2 linked regions of the Coturnix japonica genome follow. The main gene of each other region encodes a partner of the protein of the gene in region 2 in a complex. Links are inferred from orthologs where the notes say so. Each region holds a gene or a part of one and is shown on either strand. Other genes may lie near its edges.

Region 1 (3,500 bases), on a different chromosome or scaffold from region 2:
AATTATAAAGTGTCAAACAAGCCAATGGCTTTTTGACTGGCTCCTATTCAGGTTTTCAATTACCAGATAGGAATGGAAACAAAGTAAGACCGATGCATGTCCTGGTATTGATCAGTATTTCACAGGTCAGCTGTAAAGGACTCTACAGTTATAACCTGGTGCTTTGAACTAGTTTGTTGTTGGGGGGGAATGTGGGAATGATTAGGGAGATTACAGTGTAACAATAGTAAATAGCATGCCATGTTGGCGAGAAAAAAAATTCTCTAGTTTTATATCCCATTTTATCAATTACAGACAAATGTATTTCCAGAGCTTTACATTTCCCTGTGTTTATGGTTAAAATCATAAATTCAAAATCACAAACCACATTGCAACCACCTTGCTCATCTTGATTCTAGCAGGTTTTTTTGTTTCATTTTTGTTTTGAAAACACACAAAAATGTACGTTCCTGATACTGAACAGAAAGCAGTGAAAAAGTGATTTTTTCAGTGTGTTATGGAAAAACCATGCTTTAAAAAAGCATGCCAGAGTTTGGCATGCTTTTATACCTTGTTCTGATAGTTCTCGATTTCTTCCTGCAGAAAAGTCTGCCATGTTATCTGCTGTAGCTCCTCTCTCAAGTACTGGCAAGTTTCCATGTGAGACTTGGAAATATTCTGTGCAAGATGTTCTAAAGGAAAGACCAGAAAGTTGCACACATTAAAAATGCAAAGCTATACCTTCAGACATGAGAAGATGAACATATTCCAGTTACAACTGGGAGCTGCAGGAAAGCTTAGCTGTTAAAAGAAATGCTTTAATTTAATATCTCCTTGGATTTTTTTTTTTTTTTTCCCTTAAAAATAAATCAATGCAAACTGCTAACGCTGCAGTAAACAAAACAGAATTCTGGATGTTAACATACCTTGCCTAGCTCCTCATGGGCCCAATGCAGCCATTAGAGGGCACTCTGTACACACACACACACACACACACATTGCTTACACTCACAATGCAGCTCTGATATTTTAAGTTACACAAAGCAGAATCCTTTCACTAATTTTTAAGATATTTAGGTGGACTTGAATTTATTTTTGAATAAAGAATACTGTATTTGGGACAAACTTACTTCCTACAAGGCAGCAGGTGCCAAAGAAAGCTTGCAAGATCAAAAAGCTTGAGAGATAAAGGCAAAACTCTGTGAAATCATTCAAACTCCTGTCAATTCAGTAAGAGGTCTTGCTGCTTTTAGTAAAATAAAGTCAGCTTTGAAACCTGGGCTAAGAATTATGCTATGAAATAGTATTCAGTCTTAAAAGTCTTCCACTTTTCTGCCCTGACTCTTTGTATTTGTCTTGTCTCATATTTTAGCATATGACAAGTAGACTTGTCTCACACCGTTCTGCAGTTGGTACTTCTGCAGATTAGACCAGCTGCTAAAAGGAAAGCTTAAAGCCACAAGTGCAAGGTCCTGCATCTGAGTGGGGGCGGTCCCAAAACATCAGCCCTGCAGAGAATAATGTGGTAGTAATGGGTAGATAAGGGACTCTATCAGGGAGTGTAGTGACAGGACAAGGGGTAATAGCTTTAAACTAAAAGAGGATAGGTTCAGATCAGATATTGGGAAGAAACTGCGGATGCCCTGTCCCTAGAAGTGCTCAAGGCCAGGCTGCATGGAGCTTTGAGCACCGTGATCTAGTGGGTGGTGTCCCACTGCTTGTTGGAACTGAGTAAGGCTGGTGATCGTGAACATGGGTGTAGAGCTTTGGTGTATTTCAGTGCAATATTTGTTGACCAGTGTGTACTTAAAACACTTATTTTTCTTACTGTCAGCATCTGACAGCATTATTCCTATGCCCTTGCAGGATACAGAAAGTGAAATATTACCATGTTATTCACTAACCTCAGCCTCAGTTCTGGACTGTATTTAAGCATACACTTAAATACTTTCATTGAACAGCCCCACCTTCCTAAATTGAAACATCAGTCTAGAAGACAAACATTCTTCAGAGGTTGTTGGGCAATGTCAGTGCTGGGCACCAAATCACGTTCCATAGGGTTTACATGCAATCACTATGTAAATAAAGGTAAGGAATATGACAAACTTATCTTATGCTAGTGCTCCAAACTGAATACCTGGCCTAAGAAGGAAAAGCCCTTTCTTTTTTTCTGTAGTTTTAATGTTCATCATTTAGTAATTCCCATGAGAACATTAACAATCACTTGACTGAGACAAAGCTGTAAGAATAGTGTTTATCTTAGTTTTTTTCTTTTTGCTTTTACTTCATCTGTTACTGGAGGTGTTTGAACTCAAGTGAGATGCAATGTTTTGGCTGTCACAACACATAATATTGCAGAGAACTGCACTCTACAACATAAGGACATGAAAAATATTGTCCCTTTCTCTCTGCAAAATTTCTCAGAAGAACATAAACTAAAACAAGCAGAATTTCTCACCAAATACTTGCCTCTAATTAAAACCGACAACAAAAGTGACAGATTATCTTGAAGTAGATAATTTTTTCAATTTTTAGGTCATTTTCATATTGAAACATGTAGAAAAAAATGCCATTAAACAAACAAAATAAATGTTTTAAACTCCTGATTGCATGTATAAGTACCAGAATCTTAAAGTCATTTCTGTAACGTCTTGCTTCATTTTGCTTATAACCACTTGACACACGGCTCTCTAACATAAGACCCAGATGCTAACAAGTCATAGTAATGGAATTCAGCCTTCCTATAATCACTGAGGGGAAAGTTTAAAGGAAAATGTGCTAATTAATGCGGTTAATATACGGATCTTAGGGAAACTGTCAAAACATGCTACATTGAAATTTTTTCTCAAGTCTGGAGCCAGATTCTGTTCAGCCACTAGAATGGTGAACTGCCCTCAGATTAGACTGATGTTTTGGTTCCACATTCCCCAGGTACAGGTAAAGAGCAGAAAAAAAAATAGTCCATATAACTTTTTGTTAGGAAACAGAGAATTGAGCTAATAAAAAAGAAGATTAAATGTTAAAAAATATATATATAAATCTTCAAATAAAGAAATACTCCATTTCCTCAGCACAACCAATTATCTTGTTAAGAAGTATACAGAACATGCTATTACATGAATTGAAAACAAAAACAATACTACTAGATCTGATCAACGACAAGCTTATGTGGCTTTTAGTCCACTTCTGTACTGTGTTCAACCATGCACCACAACTAATTAGGGTATTGTGCACTTCACAGAAGAATGCCCATACATGCTCACAGCTGTCCTGAAGCAGCATTCTCGCTATCACCTGGCTAAATGTGTCATTTTATTTTTTAATGGGTACTATCAAGACAATTACAATGGAAGTTTTTCTCTCTCATTACCTAATTCTGCCATGGACACAGTTGGAGAGGTCTCCCCATTTGTAAAAGAACAATAAGGGAAGAAGCCCGATGCTGGTGTGTAGTCACATATTGGTTCTGGTTTGATTCCATTAATATCAAGACCCGACTGATCTGGAGAAGGTTGTATGTC
Region 2 (4,109 bases):
TAAAAAATGAAAGATCATTTCTTTACAAACAGAATTTGTTAATGAGGCTCCCGTGGAAAGGAACAGCAGAACTAGTTGTTTTACTGGCAGCATGGTCTGGTGATATGGTGAGACATTCTCCCAGAGAAAAAGAGGCCGTTGTGTATAAAATGTGACACACAGTAGCTTTAGCAAACGCTGCTGCTTTTCTGGAAAAAAAGAAAAAAAGTGGTTAAAAACACATGATGATGAAGTTAACCTAAATCTTTCATTGGCTTAAAAAAATAGGTCAAGTAATACATTAGTAGCTCTGCTGTAAGCGCATACACAATCCACGCATTCCAAAGGAAAAGGGGTTTTCTCCACATTCCTACGTGCACTTCAGCCGTGGTATCTGTGAGCTCAAGCATTTGGCTTTTCACAAACAGGACTCCCTTTTGCTTTCCTTAAGCAGAAACTCGTATGTTCTTTCATGATATCAGCCTGTTACTAAACCACACTTGGGTACGCCACTTATTTTACATGAGTTTCAGAACCAAAATATTGGCATACGTTAGTACAGATATCATCGTGCAGCGTATAAATGATTTGTAAACAAATGTTTCTCCTTGCGATCCTTAACTTCTAAGAGAAGTGTCACAAAGAGTTCTGCACACTGTTTAAGAAATGCTTTACACAGCATCACGGCTCTCTTTAAACACAGGCTCTGCTCTGTCCATGGATGACGTGGCTGAGGTCATGCACTTTCTGTAGTTCGACTAAACAGACAGTCTGGTGTGGATCTACTGACTCTTCGACTATTCTTTGATGGGAACGGAGTCTACAGAAAACCTTGACTGCTAACAGACTCATAAGGTACTTTCTCACAGCACAGTCCTGCGTGGATGCCCTGTGCCAAGATGGAGGACTAGTTCTCTTTGGAGGCCCTGTCCCAGGTTGTTCTCACGACCTGTTCACTTACTGGGGCGTGGGTCACTCCATGTTTTCATAGGCTGCCACAACCCCAATTCTCAACACCTGACAGCAGAGGAGAGGCTGCTTCCATCTGCGTGAAGCCCCTGGCAGTGGAGATGCACAGGCCGCGGGCTGAGGTGTGTGCTCGGAGCTGCGAGGGCCAGGCCGGGGGTCAGCGGGGCCGGGGGCAGGAGAGGAAAAAAAGTTTTACAGTGGAAAGGCTGCAAAAAGAAGCTCTAAAGCGGTAACCACAGGAAGCCTCCCCACGTTATGCTTAACAAGCAAGGGGGGTGGGGGGAGTGGGGAAGAGAAATTAAAAAAGGTGTTATTTCGAAGCTTTTTTTTATTAAATATAGGTCCTGCGGTGAGTTCGCTCCCGGGGCTTCACGAGCGGCCCAGCAGCGGGAAGGCGGCTGACGGCCACCTGCCTGCCCCAGCGCCCGGGAGCGAGAAGGGTTAAGGAACTTGGCGGAGGAGATGAATGGCGAGGGGGGAGGAGGGAGGAGGAGGGGCCGGGCTGCGCCGCGCCGGGCGAGGTGGAAGGCGGGGAAGATCGCGGCTGCGGGTTAGGCTTTGAAAGTCAGCCTCACAGGCATTGCAGCAGAGCCCCGAATCGCGGAGGGGAGCGGCGCAGAGCTCGGCTCGCTGTGTACGTGTTGCGGGGCGAGGGCGCGGGGAGGCTCGGTGCGTCTAATAGTCGGGGACGGGGGGCTCCGAGCTCGGAGCCGCCGCTGTCCGCGCTGCCGGAGCCCCGCTGTCCGCGGTGAGGCGAGGCCGGCGGGTGAGCGCGGCGGGCGGGGACGGGGCGGCGCGGCGCTGCGCTGCCGGGCGGCGGCGGGGAACAATGCCGGGGTGAGCCGGGAGCGGGGTGGTCGCGGCGGGGAGCGCTTCCGGTGGGGCGGGCTGGAAGTTACCCGGCCGCGGGGCTCGGCGAGCCGGAGGGGCGGAAAAGTTAGCGGCGTTTAGCGCGGGGCCGGCCGCAGCGCCGCTCTCCGCTCCTTCTCCCCTCGGCGTGGATTATTTCGGGAGTCGCAGCCGGCCGCGCAGCGCCCGAGGGGTCGGGAGGCGCCGCCCGGGGCAGCGCCGGGACGCGGCCTCGCTGCCCGCCCTCCCGATGGCCGCCGCCTCCCGGCCCCCGCTGCCCCGGTACGGCCGCTGCTCGCTCCACCTCCACCTGCGGGCGCGCAGCTCCCTGCCCGCCGCCACGGGGCTGCGTGCTCAGCGCCGGCGCTCTCGCGGCCCCGCGGGGACGTCGCCGTTCCCCTTCCAGACCAAAGGTTACTGTGCGGGCGTGTGTTGTTGTCCCCGAAGCCCTTTAAAAGGTGATTTCTCCCTGCGGAACGCGCTGTCGGAGGCTGCTCTGTGTAAGTGTCAGCGGGTAATTAACTTGGAACGGAGCGAAAGCTGGGGAAACGTGGTGTCGGAGCGTGGACGGAATAAGAGGAAGCTTCCTCAGTGCACGCAGCCTTGTGTCTGTGCCGCATGTCTGTTTATTATAGGCTCTTAATTTTAAGAAGAGTTAAGCTAAAATGCTTGACACGTGTTGAAGATGTTGGAAGGGAAAATAATATTAATGAAGCAGCGCGATTCCCGTCTTTGGCGGTGCGGTGATGTTGGAGAAGGTGACGTGGAAGTTGTTCTCTTCTGCCTCATCTGTCTGCAATCCAGGAGCCGGGCTGCCCTGGGCTTCCTTCGGAGGGAGCTGGGCGCAGCGCTGGGTGCTCACTGCCGCTGAGTGGAATTTAACTGAGTCATGGCACGGTGCGTGTTTAGAGGTGCTGTACCGCTCCGTTTAACGGAGAGGGCAGATGTGGTCTGCGAGACGCAGGGAGACTCCTTGGAGAGCTGGGGCGTTCCGAGGGGAGCAGCAGACCCACACCGACCTGAGGAGCGCTGCCACGGGCCCGGCTGATCGCTGCCCGGTGGCACATCCAGAGGCCCCGTGGTACGGGCTCACCCGGCTGGGAGCGCTTGTGGCTTAGAGCTGATCCGATGGCATCTGAGTAATTGCTGCTCCGCGGGCAGCAGGAGCAGGCGCTCGGAGAGCAGGAGTTCGCAGTCAGAGCTGCGTTCGAGCAGGGCTCTGGCTCTTGCTGCTGGGACAGCTGTCTTCCTGAGCTTGTGGCTGAGGAAGTCTGCCCTGTTGCGTTATCAGCACTCGTATGGCCTGAGATAGCCTCCAGAATAAAGCAGCTGGTGGCTTTTTTTTGTGTGTGTGCTTTAAATCTGTAGATGGATGGGTGTATGTTTTTGTCAGCAGGAAGGAAGAACTAACAAGTAGGCACTTGTTACCCTTAGCTGTGTGTTTTAGGCAGGGCTGGAAGCTGGCCTCCTGTTGGACTGCCCTGCCTGTAGCTCTTAGTGATCTAACCAGGGGGATCCCGGCAGTGGCTTTTTTGTTTACCATGTGTGCACAGAGTAAAGGAGCTGTCAAATGCCAAACCGTGCTGCATTATTATTATTTACTTAAATAACTTAAGTGTGTGTCCCCTTCCTCCCCCTTCCAAGTAGATATGGGATAAAAAAATATCAAATGAGACACGCCTTCCTCTTTGCTCCACGTTTCTGCTTCTAAAGCCACAGATACACTAAACGCAGCTGGAGAGCAGAAATGACCAACGTTTATTATAGTCATAGAAAATACATTCATAAAGAATTGAAAGCGAACTGATATTTTTTAATTGTAAACAGGTGATTGATAAGGGTTGGTGGTATCACCTTGATGGTCAGTAGTCTGCTGTACGTAGGATGAGTTCTGTAATGTGAAAGACATTAAAGACTTTATATTTTTAAAACTGATTCACTAAAGGTTGTAGAACTCAGATGTGGGTTAGCCTACTGGTAGGTATTTGCTTGTAGCTGTTATTTAACATTGGGCTGTTTTTTAATTCATTGGTAAAAGCTTGTTTACTTGTGTTAAAGCTTATAGCTCACTTTTTTTTTCTCCTTTTTCTTTTTCCCTGTATTTGAACGTTGGCAAAAGGTTTCTGCAGTGCCAGCTGTATTATTGTTAGCCATGAGAGCACTGTTAATTTTACTGGTGACAGTGCAGGACACACTCAAAGATAAACTATGCCTCGCATTGTGTGGAGCACATGTATAAACTTGCCCAGGGCAAAGCTGGGGAGTTACATTTCCCACAGTCAGCTGCCTTACTCAACCCTTGTGCTCCACAC

What was found. The genes of interacting proteins can lie anywhere in the genome.
Region 1: the proteins of NRIP1 (region 2) and RORA are in contact, whole or in part, in a crystal structure (PDB 4S15), measured with the Homo sapiens proteins. The link is inferred for Coturnix japonica from reciprocal best matches to the Homo sapiens genes NRIP1 and RORA. Residues at the interface, in NP_001426204.1 of Homo sapiens: Thr499, Leu500, Leu501, Gln502, Leu504, Leu505, His507; in NP_599023.1 of Homo sapiens: Gln332, Val335, Lys339, Phe344, Met345, Gln349, Gln352, Ile353, Leu356, Pro505, Leu506, Glu509, Leu510.

The regions. Positions count from the first base shown.
Region 1 is NC_029525.1:4,146,547-4,150,046, reverse strand, and holds part of RORA (nuclear receptor ROR-alpha), read right to left. Parts: coding exon 3,350-3,500; intron 672-3,349; coding exon 550-671; intron 1-549. UniProt on the Homo sapiens protein: Nuclear receptor that binds DNA as a monomer to ROR response elements (RORE) containing a single core motif half-site 5'-AGGTCA-3' preceded by a short A-T-rich sequence.
Region 2 is NC_029516.1:88,468,395-88,472,503, reverse strand, and holds the start of NRIP1 (nuclear receptor-interacting protein 1), read left to right. Parts: upstream 1-1,309; 5' UTR 1,310-1,582; intron 1,583-1,598; exon of another isoform or gene 1,599-1,617; intron 1,618-2,113; exon of another isoform or gene 2,114-2,297; intron 2,298-4,109. UniProt on the Homo sapiens protein: Modulates transcriptional activation by steroid receptors such as NR3C1, NR3C2 and ESR1. Also modulates transcriptional repression by nuclear hormone receptors.